Drosophila melanogaster: one gene and its partners. The protein of the gene in region 2 interacts with the protein of the main gene of each other region in a pairwise test. Each region holds a gene or a part of one and is shown on either strand. Other genes may lie near its edges. The genes, in order: CG13840, mRpS26, Pis and CG34296.

Region 1 (5,216 bases), on a different chromosome or scaffold from region 2:
AGTACACAGCTAGAAAAGTAATGCAACTATTTTCCAACGTTTAATTTTCCCAAGAAAAAGAAGGACTCAGTAAGCTTAGGTTTGTTGGTCTACCGCTAGGTGGCTGAGTAATGAGTATTAAGTAAGTAGTCAAAGCGCTTTAAACCCCAAATCTTTGAACTCATTTTTCCCCAAACATTTTCCTTAAATTCTCCTTTGCTGCCGAATATTACATATATTGTGTGTGGTGGGTGCGGAGTTCTTCCTCACTTCGCCTCCCTAAAAATGGAGTCGAATGGCTCCCACGTCAATTAGGGCTAATTTCATTAGCCGGCAATAACTTGCAGCACTTTCCCCAACCAGAAACTACTGGCCCGACTTTTCGCGACCCTTGCTGGAACTTTACTTTTTGGCTAATTTTGTTGCTGTTTCGTTAACGCCTCGGCGAAGTTGAACGTCGCGTTTATTTGTGCGTCATTGTTGCTCCTTCTGCTGTTTCAGTTAAAAGTTGTTTCAACTGGAGTTACATTTGGCAATTAGCCGCTGCATTTTCTTGCACTTTCGCTGCAGCCCCCTTTTGCATTGCAACCGGACTTCAGCCTCGTTCTGCCCATCGCACTTCAATACATATTTATTAGCCGCATTTGTTGGATTTTAGCTCAATTAAAAAGTTTTACTCGGCTACTTTTCTTCATTTCGGTTTGGGACCTGCCCTGTGACTCCAACTTCAACTTCGACTCCGAATGTGTTGTTTTGTTTGGTAGCTGTTAACTGGGAGTTAGAAACTTGGATTTGGGATCAAGGAGTTGCATGCTGGATGCTTTTGCAGCCACACTGCAGTTGCTGTCGGTGGCCTTTTTTGTCTTCTTGTTTTGCTAATTGCAATTACTTTTTGGGGTTCAGTCACTAGAAATTAAGGCATAAGCTGAATTTGAAATACTCTAGCCGTTAATCAAACTGCATAACATGAAAAATTAATAAATGTATTTAATTCAACTTAAGAACATTCCACCAAAAATATATTTATCGACTACCCTACAGTTTGTACTTTTACTTTACAAATCAAAAAACCCCTTTTGCAAGGGTATAAAACTGGCTTAAGAATTTATTCTTAAGATAGACTCATCCCAGCAGATGATTGCCGTTGGCACTCCAGCCGGGTGCCACGTAGTGGGGGCGCTGCTTGTGCACCACCGTGCGCACCACTGGCACTTTGACCGGATACGGATAATAAACTGGCGAGACCACCGGCTTCTCCACTCGGTAGGGTACCCTGCGCTCAACCACAAAGGGAATGGGCCGCTCCACGGGCACCGGCTTCACCCGTTCGATGGGAATCTTAACCTCTTGCATCTGGGGCACGGCCACCGTTTGGGCCACTGGTATTTTGATGGGCATGGGCTTGGGTATGGCTGCGATCACGGTTCGTGGCACTTGCACCTGGACGTTCTGCTTGAAGGGCACATGCTGCTTCTGATAGTGGGTGATGGGCACACTCTTAGTGATCTCGATGTGCTTGGCCAACGGCAATCCGGCTACCGCTTTACTGCTCTCCGGAGTATGGTGCACACTGGTGGTTATGGCTGGGAGATCTGCAATCTGGCTATCCTTGTGAGAGTACAACATCTGCTGGTCCTGGGCAACTCCCAGGCGCTGGTGATGCCGTTGATCCTGAGGATATTGCAGCGCATGTGGCCGCTTTTGTTGCAGATGTTGTTGCAAGTGTGGCTGTTGCAGCTGTCTGCTTTCAGGTTGCTGATAATGTCGCTGCTCCAGTGGCTGGCTTTGCTCCCGGTTTGGATGATGACTCGATAGGGACTCTTCCTGCTGACGCTTAACTGGATTGGCCGGTGTCTGGAGTTCTTTGAGCCGCGCATAGATACTAGTAATATCCTCCTGCTCCTGGTGCTGCTGCTGCTGATGTTGCTCCACCTCCTGCTCCCGCTGGCGATTCTCCCGGTAATTGGAAATTTGTTCGAAATGGTAATCGCTGGGACCGGGTAGCGATGTGGCAAACTGCACCCGCGGCCGATATGCATAGCTTTCGTAGTGCTGCTCCCCATGATGTGGCTCCACATCGTAGCCAGCGGAATTTGGCTCATAATTTGCCGTATTAATGACAAAATCGATATTGGCGGATGGGTCGCGACGCGGCTCCTCATCCGCGGTGAATGGCGAGTGCAGTTTGCTGTTGTAGTAGAAGGGCACAAAGCCATTGGCCGTGGTGCCAAGGGAGGATTGCGAATGGCGATGGTGCTGTTGATGGGTGGCGGCCAGGAGTTTGTGAGCATAATTTCCATATGTTGCCAAGTCATCGCCGGCTGCAGTGTCAGTGGGGCCATAATAATTTCGCGTATATCCTGTTAATCCCGGCAACGAGTCCACACCCGCATCCTGGTAATGGTGTTTGCTGCCATGTTCCAGCGACAGGCCGAGCGGGTACTCCGCCAGGGATAGGGGCAGTGGGGCATCTATGGCCTCCATTGTCATGGCCAAAGCGAGCCACATTAATGCATAGATCATTAATGAACTGGTGGCAGGTGACCCAAAGCCTTGGCCGGATTTTGGCCGCCCCATAACGTTGGGTGGTTGTGTGTGTCCTGAAATCCTGAACTCCTGTGTCCTATATCCTTTGTTCCAATCCGCCAACGGAGTGCGTGTTTGGATGCAGCTGGCGTGGGTGTTGCTCCGCTTTGAAATGCAAATTTGTGACATCGCGATGCTGTTTTTATAGCACACACACACTCTTCAAATGCTTGGAGCGCTCTACTTGTAATTGGATATCCTCGTTGGCACTTCAAGTTCATTGGCCAATCCACCATGGATTGTGTAAGTGGAAGCCCATGCCCAGGCACTCACTTTCACTCGGCGGCACACACCAACTGTTCCAGATAGTCCCTTTCTGGTTGTTCCTTTCAGATGCAAGTGAGGCGGCGATCCGCTGTCCGCACAATTCGCAATCACAAAATACGCAGCTATACCGCAATTGCTAGCCCGCAATGCACATCGACCTATGCACTGTGGTCTAATAGGGCTCAAAAATTAAAAAAGAAAATCTATTGTGGATGTGATAAAAATGGTAAAAATGAAGTTATTAAATTAAGTAAGTTTTGTTTTGAGTGCATAAATATTGCTTCCTTTTTAAGCTAGCATAATATTTGATAATTTTCAACATAGCTGTAACCACTGTGCACCGGTTGGCTCCCAGCCGCATCGGATTTCACACTGTGTGGCAGCTTGCGGTCAATGTCGCGGCCATTCCGATGTTTGATTGCACAAATGGTGACGTGCGCTTCATGTGCTTGCGGTCCGGTCTTTGCCAAGTGCAATCGCCGGAGATTTGAAACGCGTCTGAGATCTCGGATTGCAGCACTTTCAATTTTCATCTGGATGCATTCGACGACATTTGGTATCGTTGCTCTTGCATAATTTACCAGCCACGCCTTCACTCACTCAAAGCTGACAATGCACTTTGGGTCTAAAGTGATTCAATTTTAAAGAACCTTTGCGGGAATAGCATTCTCAGCGATTTTATAGTGCACTCAGCAAAATAGTTGATATAAGATTATAATATTTCTATATTCAGGTTTGTAGAATTGAAGATACATTTAATATGTGATACATAGATATATTATACCTTAGTTACCATTTTTGTGTTTTCTGCCATTCGTAGTTCGTTTAAAGTATTGTAGTGTTATTTTCCGATTTTAATCTTATATTTGTGATTTTCTCTGCGAGTAGTTGCCTCTGGCGGGAAATCAAGGGAAAGTCGGCGAAAAACGGAGATAGAGCGAGTTCTTTTCGTTGCTAGCCTGGCATCCTTGGATCATTCATCATTCTGCTCTGCATTTAAGTTTGCAAAGTTCACCAGGTTCGCATCGCCACCTTTCTCTATATACATATATATATATATATTTGTATATATATAGACCCACCTTAGCCACGCCCCCTTAGAGCGGCGTTAGCAGCAACGCCCACCGTCACCGCACTTTTGAAATAACAGCGCAAAGTACAAGTAAAGTGTATTTTCACATTGAATGAGGTTAAGCTTCGTTAAATTTTGCGCAGCTTCACTGTACAGTTAAACCTCCCCATCCATATCACCTGGAACGAGAGTGTGTGTGTTATACTTGTTGGATGCAATTTTTTTCGCTTCTTTTTCATTACTTCAAATGCTTTCAAGCCCTGTGAAGCATATTTTAGCAAAGTTCCCATAGAAAAGAAGCCAGCCAGCTAGCCACCCAGCTTAACATGGCCAAAATGTGTAAAGAAAAAAATCTACTAAAAAAAAAAAGAACAGAAAATAAAAAAAAGTGAGTAGAAAAAATCGACAAAACGATGGCAAAGTTAAATGCCTGCATACACATACTTATTAAAGTTCAAAGTTTTCTTTGGCGCGCTCTGCATAAAATCCATCATAAAATTAACAGGCGGAGAGGAGCAGCAGGAGCAGCAGGAGCAGATTTTGCTGTGACACTGAAACTTCATTAAGTCACGTTAAAACGTTAAAATGAGAAAACGGTCGAAGGAAAGGCAAAAATCCAGCAGCCAGCAAAAACAGAAGCCAAGGCAGCCAGCAAATAGCCAAGAAATTCCAGCTATGGCATAGTTGGCAACGTCGCTGGCCTTTGCTTGACCCGCTCGGAGGTGGGTTTTTTTTTTTTTAATGGGGGACTCAGAGGCTTCGGCGGATACGGCGGACTCCGATGTTGTGGGTGACTCGGGGTCGACGGTCATCGTTGCATGCGAATTTAATCAAGTCATGCAATAGAATTTACGGTTCCATTGCCTTTCGGCCGTCGATGCCGATGGTCGTTCCGTCCTCGTTTGTTGGTCCACTCCCCACAAAGATTTGGCCCAAAACTTGGCCTTGGCTGTATAGTTTGGGCCCTAATGCCAAGTGTCGTCCCCCATTGCCCTACCGTCCCCACATCCCACTCATACCTCCTCACCGTACAGTTTATTCAATGTCCTTCGGCTTTATTCCTGGAATTGAGCCGCCTGTTTGTGTTGCTTCTTGAGTTTTTTGTTCAATGCTTGTTTTAAACAATTTGCGGTCCTGGTTTCGCGGGGCAGGGGCTCAAAGTTTTTGAGGCACTTTTATTATTTCGTATTGTGGCACAGGAAAAATTCGTATACGTGATTAAATTCTTCGAATTTGAATTTATAATTTGAAATGCGCATTTTTTTTTTACCCTTTTTCGTTATTGCATTTTTTATGGAGATATTTATATATG
Region 2 (4,494 bases):
GAAATGGAACGGCATATGCACGGGGCGGTGAGGAGGTGTCCGTGACCAGGAAACGGGTGGATCGCAAGGACGACAAGAGCCAGGCCGAGCGGATCAAGGAGCTCTTGGGCGAGTCGGACGCCAGTGGCGGCGAGCTCAGCGAAGAGGAGGCTAACAAGACTGAGATGGCACTCAGGCCCATCCTGCTAAAAGAGGGTACGTTTTACAAGCACTTTTTGATGCACACGGGCAGAAGAAATTCATGCTTTATTTGTTTATAAACGTTAGGACTCTGGGTCACCCAGAAGACACCGATTGCGAAGCAAGAAATCGCCAGTTCAACCTCAACACTTAAGGGTAAGGCGCTAAGCTTTAAAAATGGCATAATCTAATTTGATTTCGCTCCTAGACACTTTGGCAGTGGCCCAGCATTTGCAACAGCTGCATGTGGCTGCCCAGGCAGCCAGTTTAGAGGAACCTCCGCTGCAGTACGGTCGCTACCCACGCACCATTGGTAACTTTCTGGACTCCAGCGAAGCGCAGATCTTTCTCATGCAACTGCCAGATGTGTTGCCATGTGTGGGCGACGATTCCGAAGATCCGGAACCGTCTAAAGGAGATCATCAGGCCACCAGTGAATCGGAACCAGCAAGTCCTGCAGACAAATGCTCAAACGGACCCAAGGGCAGTGTACTACGGCAGCTGGAAGAAGGGCAGATCGGCAAGATTCTGAGGTACAAATCCGGTCGCGTTAAACTCCAATTGGGGGACACACGCTTTGACTTGGATATGGGTCTCGATCCGGGTTTTCTGCAGGAACTCATGTCTGTAACCGCCAATCGCGAGCAACGTAGTGGAAACATGATCAACTTGGGACCCATTCAAGCCAAACTAAAGGCCACTCCAGATTGGGTGCACCTTTTCCAGCAGCAGGATGCGGCATCCAAGCGAACGAATCCAGTACCGGGCACGTAGCACCCACTTCCCCATGGTAGATATGTAATATAGTAAATAGGCTGCGCCTAAGCTTAAGTTATTCCTATTCTAAATGCCGTATATAAAAGTTAAATATAGAAATTTTTATAATACAAATGCTTTTCAAAAGGTTATTAACAATTGTACTCGAATATGGAACATAAAAGAGACTCCAAGAAAGATGGGCTTGGAACTTGGGGATATGTAACGTAAATTAAGCCATCAATACTTAATGCAATGACCCAAGATTAATTTTTAGGTTAATGGATTGTTGATATATTATATGTTCAAATTAAGTGATTATTATAATTTCAAATACGGTCTTAAAATTTGAAAAGTATTCTAGTTCTAGCAAATCGCTTTACAATAGCTAGGTTATCCAATTCCTATTCTTTTGCGCAAATCAAATATACTTAAGTGTGTTGTTTATTGTGCAGAAAAATAAAAAAAAACACGGACTTTCAACTTTGGTTAGAAACCTATAAAAAGCATTTTAATGTAACAACAAACTAAGACACTGCATTAATTAATTACTCAAAACTTGCTGGTTGGGTTCGGGAGTGGCGTCCGGGAGCTGAGAGGTGCTTCGTCCGTGGTAAAGATTACCGGCCATATCGATGGCGAAATTGTGGTCCACGGGATTGGCCAACGCTGTCTCAATGGCTGCATCCAAGTTTTCCCTAGTGATATAGTTCTTGGAACGCTCAATCTCGAGCAGCACCCGCTGGTTGGCCTGCTCCTTGCGCTCCTCCTCGCGCAGCTGTTGTGCCTCCAATCGCTCCTGAATATAGGCCACCTTTTCCTCACGCTTCTTGGCCAATCGCTGATCACGCTCCTTGGCTATGGCAGCGTTCCAGGCAGCATTGGCATCCAGGCATTTCTGGAACTCGGCCTCCTCCTGCTCGGGAGTGAGCACGATGTGATCTGCTGTGGATGTTTCCTCGTGGCGGACGACTTCCTCCCTTAGAAACTGACGCACTGAGCGAAGCTGCGTTCTGAAATCAAGGCGTAGATTGTTTTGTATAACGTCTTTTGAAACCGATTACAAATTATCTTTGACCAGAGACAGAATCTGGCGCTGGTGCACGCACTTGTACTGGTTGTGTAGCCTCATGAGCTCCGTGCGCTCCTCCTCCGACTGCTTCTTGCGTTCAGGCACGCGGAACATCTTGCTCTTGGCCACCGGCAGCCATCGCGGTTTCCTGCGCCAGCGGACGAACTCGAGGGCGAAACTATTTCCGACCGTCTTCCCGGTGGGCAGGGTGGACTGCGTCAGCAGCTGGCATCCCGCTCGCAGCATTATAAAAGCAGTTTAATTAACAAAATGTAATTTTTACTTTGCCGCTGCTGAACTGTTGTGCAACTCTGTTGTCGGTGAACTGGTTCCGCGCAGTTCGATTGCTGGTTCCGTCAGTGATGACCAATATGGAAAATCGAAGAATCAAGGAATAAATCAATCTTAACAAATCAAATTCAGATAGAAAGGCAATAGTAATTTGGTTGTCAACTTACTAAATTTATTGTCGTACATATTCATATTAAAATATAATTATATACTCAGCTACATAGATATATTTTTAGGTACAGCTTAATTTTGCGTTGCTAACAAGTTTTTGCAATTAAATTGCGCAGGTTATGAATGTTTTTTATTTGTCCAAAGATACAAGCTTTGAAGTCCAGACAGATCTGTTGTGAAAATAGCCAAACTTCCAACGCACTAGTGCGTTTCTCACAATTGCGCTGCGCTCAGCTCGGGCTTAAAAGCTTTTGGCCAGGTGAACTTGACGGGAAGGTACGAAAAGTAACTGCTCACTCAGTCGACGATATATCGCCGCGCTGGCCGCATTAAAATCCGAGCTACGGAACTTCGCTGTTTCGCCTCTTGTACGTGGGCTAACTTAAAACAAAAGTGGCTTGCGCAGCCGGCGCGCCTTGAAAGTGTGTGTGTGTTCGTGTTTAAAAAAATAGTGTGCGTTATTGAAAAGCTAAGTCAGTTAGAAGCAGTGTGGAAAGTGCATATTGTATATATCTCTTGCCAAGGCTAAAAGTGTTAAAAGTTAACTCCCAGAAATGCACACACGCATACCGATGCAAGCGAAAAGTTAAAGCGACGATCATTCATTACTGCGTCTTCTTCTTATTCATCTGCTCTTTGCGACGTGTTTCGCTTACCTGTCCAAAAAGCCCGAGTATTGGTGGGCTCCACAGCTCCATAGCTCCCTCTCTCTCTCGCTCTCTTTCGATTTGCACATGCAAAAAGGCAGCAGCAGCAAGAACAACAACAAAAACTCCATCTGAGAGCTTTAAAGCCGAAGTTCTCGACGCAGACGTCGGCGGGAGCAGAGCTTCAGCAGCGCAGCGGCAGCGAACAACTCGTACAGGTTTGTTGGCATTTTTTTTCACATTGGCTTTTGATTTTTGTTTACCTCTGATTGGAATGGCAATTCGCACTGGTTGGACTGTAAATATTGTCTCATATGTGTGTCTCATGTATCCCAACCGCTTACCACGCACAGAATCGAATCGAATCGAATTGGATCGCTTCGTAGCTGGAAATTCTTATAAGGCGATCAATTTTGCATATCGAATTTGTTCAATTGCTTGAACTGCACGAAACAGGGGTTCTATTGTTCTCTTTTAATTAAATAACTAAAATGGGTAATGTAGACTTTCCTTTTTAAAACTTAGTGCCTTAAAATGCCACATCTTCTTTTCTTATAATTTAATTAGTGTACCTTAACTGTACGATTAAAAGTTTACTGCTCTCTAATCGTTGGAATGTTTATCTTATGCAACTTTTTCAATCTGTTTACTTTCACATTCTCCAGCATTTAAGATAAGATTTTATATCTAAAAACGTGATTTAAACAAGATTAATACAGAAAGAATGCAAAGTTGTTGGATGATAACGACAATGTACTAATCTAATTCCCTTTATTTCAATATAAATACTTAATATTCCCAACTATTTAGGTTAGCTTCTGTGATAGTTTGAAATTACCTATCAAATTGTGAGCTTAACTTATTTAAGCCAGTAAATTCCCGCTACACAACTTATTTTCCCACCAACATAACCTCGTTTGGCTTATCAACAACGCTCATTAAAAATTCCGAAAAAGAGTTGCAACTTCGGGGCACTGCACCACGCGACGCAGAAGTCAAAAGTCTTGCCTTGAACGCCTGAGCAAGTGCAAAATCTGCTTGCTAATTTATTTGCCCATCTCCAACCTGAGGTCTTTGAAAATCTAAACACAAAAATGTGTAGGAAAATAATTATGCCAGCAGCAGCAACAACATCAGCAAGTAAAACAGTTTAAATGACTTTCAGTCACGGCAGCTCAGCAGGTGTTGGCTAAAAGGGGGAAATCTGGGGAATGGGCGCTGACTTCAACTTAAATATGCAAACTTTTTCCGCGCTTGGAGAACATTCGCAAATTCTGATAAGAGTTCCCCCCAACTGTAAAACCTAATTAGCAAATGTTGTGAGGCAATTAAACCAAATTACAGTTCTCCTTCTTGCCCGTGTTGCAAGTTGAAAGG
Region 3 (5,848 bases), on a different chromosome or scaffold from region 2:
AAAAAAGTTTTGTAAGCAAACACAAAGAAATCACGAAATTCGATTCGGAATATCAGTTGTGGCACCCGAAGAGTGTCGCATTAATTAGCTAACTTAATTGAGAAATTGCTAAGAAACAAAAAACAGAAGTTGCTTGACAAAGGTAAAATAAACAAATTAAATGACCAAAATATTGCATTACTATTAATAGGGGGCTTCATAGAACATCTGTTGGATTGATTAGAAACAAGTTGGTGGTTTGTTAGTCATCTTTATCTTCGCACTATCATGCGCATTCCTCTTCATTTATTGTACAAATCACAAATCCTATTACATTTCATTGCGCTTCGCACCTTCTGTTTATTGCTGCATTCACCTGGTCATTCGTTTGTTAATTTAATTCAATTTTTATGCGTGTAGGCACGTTCAAAGGTTAGTTGGTAGACTTGGTTACACTTAAGCGATAGTTGCATGTGTCATTCTCATTCAGTGGTAATGATCCAGTAGTAAATAATGTACAGTACGATCTTAGGTCTAAAATCTAGTAGCTTCGGGCCAGTTCTGCATGCATCACCGCCAGCAGCTGCCTTTCCATGTCGCTCAGCGATCCAAATTCGGCTCCAAAGTCGCGCAGCAGGTGCTTTAGATCGCACATTTTACGCTCCACCCAGGCGCACGTAATCTCCGCCAGCGCATACTGCTGCTGTTCGGGCACAAATGCTCCCGGACGCTCCGCGGATCCACCGTCGTCCGCCGAACAGGGGAGCGACTCGAACTGCGCCAGGTTGTAGTAGTACTCGATCAGCTTGATGTGGGCGGGTGACTGGCGTGCGGGAGGCAGGTTCAAATGGACTAGGAGCAGCAGACGCAGCACCTCAACGCGCCGCAATAGTTCACCGTACATGCGAGCACCGCGTCGCTCGTAAACATTGTCCACAATGTCGTCGTAATGCTGCAGTGCACTGCGAAAATCGCCGCGCTGGCCACTCGTTTCGGCGCTGATTTCCAGGTCATGGATCTGATGGGTGGGCGAGGCAAAGCTGCTGGTGCTGTCCAGCTGCCGCTGCAGCTGCTTCAACTCGCGCAGAATGGCCGCCTTGAAGACGCAACCGTCCACCGCTCGATCCGCCGCACGGTGATAGCAGTGCACCGCTCCCTCCCGAAATCCCGAGTGGCGGGTGCGCAGATGCAGTCGCCCGGACTCGTTGTGCGCCGCTAGGAAGGATCTAGCTGCCCGCAGATAGGCCTCCGATTCGCGCTGCGGTGCGCCGCCGTAGGACTCGCACTTGGCATAGCCAATGTGGCACATGGCCGCATACTGCTGTATGCCCGACTCCTCGAAGCTGTAGGCCAGTCGCTGGAAGTCCGCCTGCACATCGACCACGCTGGGCGCAAAGCGTCTGGGAATTAGAGAAACAGTGGAGTATTGAGATTGTATTCCGTGATTCGAGGGCTTCTAATACACCCGTATTTCTAAACATAGTTTGAAGATGGAGGAAAAGCGATAAATTGGGCAATGACTTGCTAATCAAACGCAATGATCTGCAAGGTATCTGATTGCCCATACTTGGGCCGTAGCTACTCACTTGAAGAAGCCGGCCCGCTCGAACTTCTTGATCTTGCTGGAGGCCCTTAGATATTGCTCGATCAGGTTTTTGGGGTACTGATACTGCTCCAGTTGGTGGTGCTCATGGCCCGGAGCCGTCGATGGCGCGCCGCTGGAGGATCCGCCGCCGCCCAGACTGCCGCCGCGGAGTTTATCCATGCTACAGCATGTGGTTCTCCGCGCAGGTTACTTCGGGTCGCGCTACTTGTGCATTATATTTTCGCCTGTATTGTGTTTTTATTATTATTTGTGAAAACTTTATCGCGGGCGGTGTGACCATGCCATGTCCCGCTGAGGAATATACTAGCTTAGAAGCGGTATGCAAAGATCCATTTACACTGCTCAACGGCAGCGAAAATGTATCAAAACGGCACGCAAATCGCTGTCAAAACTCATTTAACAAGCAACTACACTAGTTGCCCGGTTTTGGTAGCTCATGTTAATAATCTAGTGACCTTTAATTTGTATTTGATACATTTAAAATGATATACTAATTACTAAATTTCTATTGGAAGAGAAAAATAGAAACTAGAAACAGATGTGTGTCAGTGGAAACCATCTGAAATCTTGTTGGCCAGTATAGTTCGGTATTTTCTCTCAAGTCTTTGTTTGTTTTTTCCAAAGGTCACGCTGCGGTCACACCAGATACAGCAAATTCTGTTTCCACTGTTTTTTCTGCAGCACTTTTGGCATTTAATTGGATAAAAACAAGCCGCAAAGCTAGAAGATCGCAAAATAAACGAAAAACCAAAGTGGCGAAACAAAATGACAATTGCCGAGCACGATAACGTCTTCATCTTTGTGCCAAATCTGATCGGTGAGTGGCTGTTTGTAGGTTTTATTCCGTGCTCCAGCTAGGTAAACAAATCGCATGTTCGATTTATGCGGCGCAATAATAGCGATTCTAGTGTTCCCTAATTGGATTAATAGGGGCTGTTTGGCAGCTAGTGCAATGCGAAGCGCAAGTTCAGCGATAAGAGCCGCTTCGTCCAACCCAATTGAGTCACCTCCAATGATTCTATACGTATGATGCACGCATATGTGCTGATTTATATTGATCTTTTCCAGGCTACGCCCGCATCGTTCTGGCCCTGATCGCCTTCTGGTTCATGTCCACCAACTATGTGATCTCCGGCTGGTGTTATGTAACCTCCGCCCTCCTGGACGCCGTCGATGGACAAGCAGCCCGAGCCTTTAACCAAAGTAAGCATTAACCATGCGATCGCCCTTGATATCGAAATGCCAGCTCATGCCAGCTATATGTCTGTATTTGATTTGTGCGCGCACTTTGGCCGCTAGCGCATTGCAAACACCTGTCTCCTCCGTACTGGTTATCTGCCGATATTGTGGAATTGTAGGCACGCCCTAAAGAGCCCGATATGGTCACGGCTATCCAGCCAATCGATGGATGACGTGGGGCTGAAGAATAGATAGAAAGCATGGCTAATATTGCCTTGGAACTATGCAATGTAGTTAGCAATATAGGAGGAAAAACATTAGGATAGAAGCCTTCTAAGAAACAAATTGCAGATACCATGCAATGTTTATGATATAGTAGTGTAGCAAACTGAAAGGTATGATCTTGCACTTGGATTTGTTGTATGCTAGCAGGATGATTTAGAGTCTTAACGAAAGGGTACTCCAACCAAAATATGTATATCAAAATATTAGTAATTATCATATGGTACTATGGAATCTTTACTAAATACTCGATTACCTCACAGGCACTCGCTTTGGCGCCATGCTAGACCAGTTGACCGATCGCTGCGGCACCACCGGCCTACTGGTCACCCTGGCCTACTTCTATCCCCGGTACATGTTCTGGTTCCAGCTGTCCATCGCCATCGACGTGGCCTGTCACTGGCTCTTCATGCAGACGTAAGTGGGGCAGGGGAAAGAGCAAGATGCTGGACGTCTGGACTGTCAAGGAATGGAAGGAAACTAATGACTCGTGGCTTTGTCTTTTTGCAGGAGCGTTGTGGTCGGACGCAGCTCGCACAAGGTGAATGACAACTTCATAATGCGATTGTATTACCAGAAGGACATACTCACATTCATGTGCTGCGTCAATGAGCTGTTTTACGTGTGCTTGTACCTCTTGCATTTCACCTACGGCCCGCTGAGTGAGTATACGCACACGCACATGCTTTGCATTTCAGCTGGCGAAACGTATCTAATCCGTTGATGGACTTCAATTGCAGTATTCGGCGCATCGCTCTTCAAGATACTCGCCTTCCTCACGGGTCCCTTTGCCGTGCTCAAGGCCCTGATCTCGGTGATGCACGCCTACGTGGCGGGCATCGATCTGGCGGCCGTGGATGTACGCGAGCGGCAGGAGCGGCGCCAGAAGTCGGAGCCGGTGAGCGGCAAGAAAGTGGAGTGAAAATGGGATGCGATCCGGGATCAATCTTCCAGCGACAGTTCTATCAACAGAAAGTACTAAATGAAACAACTCTTGATTCCAAGCTAAAAAAACAGAATTTTGAAGACGAATTGCGATCAGATGAAATATGGGCATTAGGCAACCAAATAGGCCGTAGTAGGAATTTAATTTATTTTTAATGCGCTATTGCAATGATTGTTGATTTTATTTGATATATTTTAGTTAGACGGGTGGTGAAATCACCCGACAATTTGTATTTAATAGATTTTTGAATTGAAATTTAAGCGATTCGTTCCAGTCAGTAGCTGTTGCATATTTATTTTGCCTTTAGTTAGCGTAGTTTACACGCTATATATGTATATATATGCCAATGCGTAAATGCAGGCCGATATACTATGAATGAGTGTCTATTTCCAGGATTTATCTCACTGTGCACGTTTTGGGTTTGACTAACCACCTTGTCCCAGCAACTCTCTCAATGTAACTAATGTATTTCTAATCGTAAGTTAAAGAATGTAATTGGAGACCTGCATGAAATATATACGACAAATGGATGTTAGATGTATTTGAAACATTAACATATATGTACCATACATGCCAGGCCTGGCAGACTTAGTCAAAATTGAAAAGTGAAAATAAATATATGTGGTTCTATGCGCTAAATTTTAGTTTAACCTTTTGGGCCATCGATTTTTGAAATTTGCGCCACACAAAATTTATCGTTAGACATCAAAATTATCGTTGGCACATCCCTGGCTGGCCGCTCAGCTGCGCCGCCTGTGCAGCCCTGATTTTTACACAACATAAACATTCGATTTTGGAGGAGCTCTTTTTTCGAGAGAATACCAGGTCGTTGGACACGGGAGATGCTCTGATTAGGGGCGCATGTGGAGCAGCCAACGCCGGAATCGCCGACATGAAAATCCTCTCCCGTCTGGGTCGCCTGATGCGCTACACGGTGGCCTACGCGGCAATCACACACTGCACCTTCGAGTACATTGGCGATTTCGTCCTGGTAAGGCGTCTAGGATGAAGTTCCTGGGCGGGTATACTTGCCCAACATGTGCCAGCATCACATAGTTCGTGTGAATGCATTAAGGTACTCTCCACTTGTTTTTCCACCTTGTGTAACTTCCACTTGATATCCTTCTTTTGCGGAAAAGTACGTACACTCACATTAATGCAACCATTTCCAGTGCAAAGGACCCTCCATGGAGCCCACCCTGCACTCGGACAACGTTCTTCTCACCGAGCGCTTGTCGAAACACTGGCGAACCTACCAGCCCGGCGACATAGTCATCGCCATATCGCCCATCAAAGCCGATCAGTTCATTTGCAAGCGTATCGTGGCCGTTTCCGGTGATCAGGTGCTAATCCAGAAGCCCATTCCCATTGAGGCGGAGTTTAGTGGTAATTCGGATGACAAGAAGAAGCCCGTGATGGTCAAGGACTATGTGCCGCGCGGACACGTTTGGATTGAGGGTGACAACAAGGGAAACAGCTCGGATTCCCGCTACTACGGACCCATTCCGGTGGGCCTCATCCGGAGCCGCGTGCTCTGCCGCATCTGGCCGATATCCGAGGCCACGGGTCTATAGATGGCATTCGTACAACAAAGAGTTTAAAATCAACTTGACCCAATAAATGGCCTATGTTTCGTTTGGAAATTATAGTACATCAAACCACAACTTTTTAGAATCATTACGTATGCGAGTTTCGTCTCATTTGTGCGACTTCTGGTTTTTGCATATCATTGAAAATAAGTTGAAAAAAACAGGAGAGAATAATAATTTCTTTTCATTTTTGTTTTTAATAAACATATTTTTCAAAGTATGAAGCTTACATCCTTAATCCTTATTGGCTTACCTTCTAAGGAAGTA
Region 4 (3,808 bases), on a different chromosome or scaffold from region 2:
CGATGCTAAGCTGAGTATTTATTGGACACCGAAGATTATAGATATTTAGCAACTAGTATAACAATGCGTTTATTTCAACAAATTGGCCGTGGTCTCCAAGTGCGTGGCCATGCGAATGTCCTGCGAACTGAGACCGCCCACGTCGTGCGTGGACAGGGTCACGTCCACCTTGTTGTAGCAGTTGAACCACTCGGGATGGTGGTTGATCTTCTCGGCCAGCAATGCCACGCCCGTCATGAAGCTGAAGGCCTGGTTGAAGTCCTTCAGCACGAACTGCTTGAAGATGGCGTCGCGCCCCTCCACCAAAGTCCAGCCGGCGTCCAGGAGGGGCTGCAGCTTCTCGGCGCGTTCCTGTTCGTTTAGTCGTACCTAAAGGGCAGCGAGCAACAAGTATGTGAGTGTTATTGATTCATACGATATATATACAAAATAATTTGTGAGCGAAAAACCTCCATTTCTGGCCAAAATCACAGTGATTCTATTTGTTAGGGCATAAAGCACTTTCCGAAAGTCCAAACCTGTCCTTGGGTGGTCGATTGATTTCAGTTGGAGGCGATAAGGGAACCACTCGATTTCGCTGAGACTCCGTTCACCTTGATCTCAAACTCACTTTCGGCTCGTACTTACCACCATTTTGCGCTTTTTCGCTGTGATTGCGGTTGCTGTTGCTTCTGTGGTTGGGGTGTTGTGGATTCTCCGGAGATTCGCACTGCCACCAGTTGCTGCCCGTGCTGCTTCTCTCGCTGCTGGCGAATACAGAACTGAGATTTGCGACAGGCTGCGCGAAAAATAAAGCTCAGATTTAAGTTTGGTATTTTTGCCCCTCCCTCCCCTTCCGCACATTCCACCTTTTGAATACCTTCTACTCGTTGCTGTTGTTGCAGTTGTGGGGAATAAACCAGCTCTGCGGCTGCTGGCAAGCAGATTGGCCACTTTCTGGCAGTTCGGCTTAATCACATTCTGAGCGCATTTAATTGTTAACAACATTTTCGATCCAAAACTCGTTTGTTCTTAGCTGCTGTTTTTGTTGCTGTTGCTGTCGGCGCGGAACAGCTGACTTGTGTCGTATGTTAGCTAACATTGAGTTAACATGGAGCTGTAAAAACTGCCAACTTGTTTTGACAACGTCTGCTAGCAACATAACTGTTATAAAGTCTAATGCCGCGTAATTTGAATTTAGATTTCTTATTGGATTTCTTATTGATTTCTAGAGATTTGACATACAGTTTATTTATTAAATGGCCTTCTCTTACATTGTTATGACATTAAAGTCGCTCTGATTATATCAAGTGTTAATATATAGTCATATGGCTGGAATATGACTATTACTTGTGCACCACATTCTCCGTCTCCCCATTTCCGTAATAGTCGTAATCCGAACTGGCGGTGGAAGTGGCCAGCTTGGGATGGTCGGTGGTGGTGACCGTGTTAACGGTTGATCCACTGGATCCAGTGACCACTTCAGGCGCCACAGTGGTTGTCTTCCTCCAACGCAAGCTATAGCGACTGCGAATGAACGGCGGCTTGGTCACCAAAACCGAGTCACCAATCGCTGCATATTGGATATTGTTATTCATTGGGTATCCAAAGACCAAAGTTGTAGCTCACCCATTCCGATGAGGCAACAGCAGAGGATCAGGAGCAGGGCCAGCTTCATTCTGAGTTCCCCTTTCGATGTTAACTGTAACTTTTCCCGGCAACTCGACTGCCTTTATAGTCCCATCAGAGCTGAGATAAACGGCTCCCAATTCCCCGACGAAAGCGAAATCGTCCCCTGGTTTCCCTGGGGAACTGGGGAACATCCATCCAAGTTCAATCACCGCCAGTGCGATTTTATGTTTTTTATTCGTTATCTCTGAATGAACTCTTACTTTAGCTTACGGGTTAAGGCGACATTGTACAATCGAATCGATATTATGCCTAAGCGAAATGGTAATAAATACGTGTGTGGAATTTTGGTCAGCCCGCAATCAGTTGTCCGTTTCCGGTTTGCGTTCCGCTTCCGGTTCCGGTTCCGGTTCCGCGGGCCGTGGACGCTTGGGTCCGGAGGGTATTGGCGGAGGTGGAACATCCGGCACCGCGCTGTTTTTGCTCTCCGAACCGTTGCGAATGTCCTCGAAACTGGGCTGCGCCGGCTCCAGATTCTCCAGGGGAAGTGGCTGTGGCGAAGGTGGACTCTGGACGGGATTCAGTGGCTGTTCCTGCTCCGCGCGCGGCAAAGTGGCTGCCCGCAGGGGATAACCCTGGCTGGGATAGTAGTCGTACGGCGGCAAGTAGTTCTGCCTTATGAAGCCCGCTTGGTCATAGATCACTGGATACTGGCTGTAAGGATACGGTGGCAGGTGCATGGGTTGGCCTCTGAACTGGGAGGGCAGTGGTATCAGCACGGGCGGCAATCCCTGCTGATTCAACGGCACTGGCATCTGCTCCTTGGGCATCTCCTGGCGCTCCACGGTTCCGGGTGGCGACGCCGACTGCGGCTGCTGCTCCACTGGCGCCTCCACCGGTTGTTGGGGTTCATATGGAGCATAGCCAGCGGGATACTGGGCGGCAGATGGCAGAGGGTAAGGGAGCTGTAATATTAAGGTTTCAATAGTTTAAACTACTATATTTCTTTTTTGAGTGCGGTTCATTGCTCTAGTCAGAGATTTCTAGAGTGAGCTTTTTATGATACCTATTATTAAATTAATCATTGTCTTATTATAGCTAGCAGTAATTTAATCTTGCGAAATATTTCGCTAAGTTTATCAGTGTTAGCAACTTAATGAAACCCATAAGCTCACCCTCTCATTTGGCGTCAATCCCGGGACAATCGGTTGGCCGAATCTCACAATCGGCGGACTGTAGAATCCGTAGGGATTGTAGGGTCCAAAGGGGGCGTAGCCCGGCTCGTGAATGGTGGGCTGGATGACCGGATAGGCGCGGCTGGAGGTCAGGTTGTCGTCGGTGGTGATGAGAGCGTTGTAGACCTTGGGCTTCTTCCTCAGGCGACGGGCGGCCAGCGAGGAATCGGTCCACAGAACAAGTCCCAGTAGCAGTAGGAGAATCAAAATGGTGTGCTGCCGAGAATAGAAATCGAAATCGAAGTCGGCGTTTATATATTGTGCATATAGAAGTAGATACAAGTGACCATTGACAGCTGTCCCTGGGTTTGTCACTACTGCTGCTGGATGGCGATCAATGAAAACCATAATCTGTCTAATTGATCGCCATATCGACAATCAATCAATGAATTGTTTGGACTACGCACAATGTGTGCTTGTGCTGGACGGAAGTTGTGCAGCTGGAACTCTGGGTGCTCTACAGGGAAGCTTGTTAGTAATGGCTTTAAAAAGCCAGGTATTACGTGTCTGTATGGACTATATGGAGTCAGAAGAAACCCACGACTTTCAAATACCAGCACTGCAGTCGTCGAAACAATCAACACATGTCAGCCTTTGTTGCGAATTCTCTACACTTCATTAGTTTTGAATTGAAATGTAGATTGTTCCTTTAATTGGATTACGGAGTAGCCGATCGAACCGGACGGCGCTGCTACCTCTTACACTGAGCGAAAAAAGTCTATTCAGAACGTGTACATCGTTCACTTGAAAAGGTTAAGGCATACTTCATTTCTACATTCCATCTTCTATTGAGAACCAATTCTTTTGCCAGTGCATGGGTTCAAGTGGAGCTATGGCAAAGGCATTTCCTCGGAGAGATGGAGTCTAGGTCCGGTTAGACGAGTTGCCCATGGAGGAGGTTTGATGGTAATGGCACTGCAGCTGGTACTGGAGCATGGAAATGCACTGGGGCGATCTGCGGAACT

What was found.
Region 1: the proteins of mRpS26 (region 2) and CG13840 interact in a two-hybrid assay, tested with the Drosophila melanogaster proteins (one large-scale study listed by BioGRID).
Region 3: the proteins of mRpS26 (region 2) and Pis interact in a two-hybrid assay, tested with the Drosophila melanogaster proteins (one large-scale study listed by BioGRID).
Region 4: the proteins of mRpS26 (region 2) and CG34296 interact in a two-hybrid assay, tested with the Drosophila melanogaster proteins (one large-scale study listed by BioGRID).

What each region holds. Positions count from the first base shown.
Region 1 is NT_033777.3:22,813,536-22,818,751, forward strand, and holds CG13840 (uncharacterized protein), read right to left. Parts: upstream 2,644-5,216; 5' UTR 2,503-2,643; coding exon 1,102-2,502; 3' UTR 948-1,101; downstream 1-947.
Region 2 is NT_037436.4:18,104,422-18,108,915, reverse strand, and holds mRpS26 (mitochondrial ribosomal protein S26), read right to left. Parts: upstream 2,338-4,494; 5' UTR 2,255-2,337; coding exon 2,046-2,254; intron 1,950-2,045; coding exon 1,481-1,949; 3' UTR 1,417-1,480; downstream 1-1,416. Other genes in the region: Polr3D (RNA polymerase III subunit D), read left to right, coding at 1-195, 268-336, 389-954.
Region 3 is NC_004354.4:15,700,124-15,705,971, reverse strand, and holds Pis (phosphatidylinositol synthase), read left to right. Parts: upstream 1-2,201; 5' UTR 2,202-2,350; coding exon 2,351-2,402; intron 2,403-2,653; coding exon 2,654-2,788; intron 2,789-2,884; coding exon of another isoform or gene 2,885-2,943; exon of another isoform or gene 2,944-3,159; intron 3,160-3,309; coding exon 3,310-3,463; intron 3,464-3,556; coding exon 3,557-3,708; intron 3,709-3,786; coding exon 3,787-3,968; 3' UTR 3,969-4,521; downstream 4,522-5,848. Other genes in the region: Hap40 (Huntingtin-associated protein 40 kDa), read right to left, coding at 521-1,379, 1,566-1,744; CG9240 (uncharacterized protein), read left to right, coding at 4,885-4,983, 5,165-5,566. UniProt on the Drosophila melanogaster protein: Catalyzes the biosynthesis of phosphatidylinositol (PtdIns) as well as PtdIns:inositol exchange reaction. May thus act to reduce an excessive cellular PtdIns content.
Region 4 is NT_033777.3:29,720,408-29,724,215, reverse strand, and holds CG34296 (uncharacterized protein), read right to left. Parts: upstream 1,679-3,808; 5' UTR 1,658-1,678; coding exon 1,609-1,657; intron 1,553-1,608; coding exon 1,326-1,552; 3' UTR 1,203-1,325; downstream 1-1,202. Other genes in the region: Naa40 (N(alpha)-acetyltransferase 40), read left to right, coding at 1-14; Pcd (pterin-4a-carbinolamine dehydratase), read right to left, coding at 70-369, 628-778, 860-987; CG15506 (uncharacterized protein), read right to left, coding at 1,971-2,573, 2,784-3,059.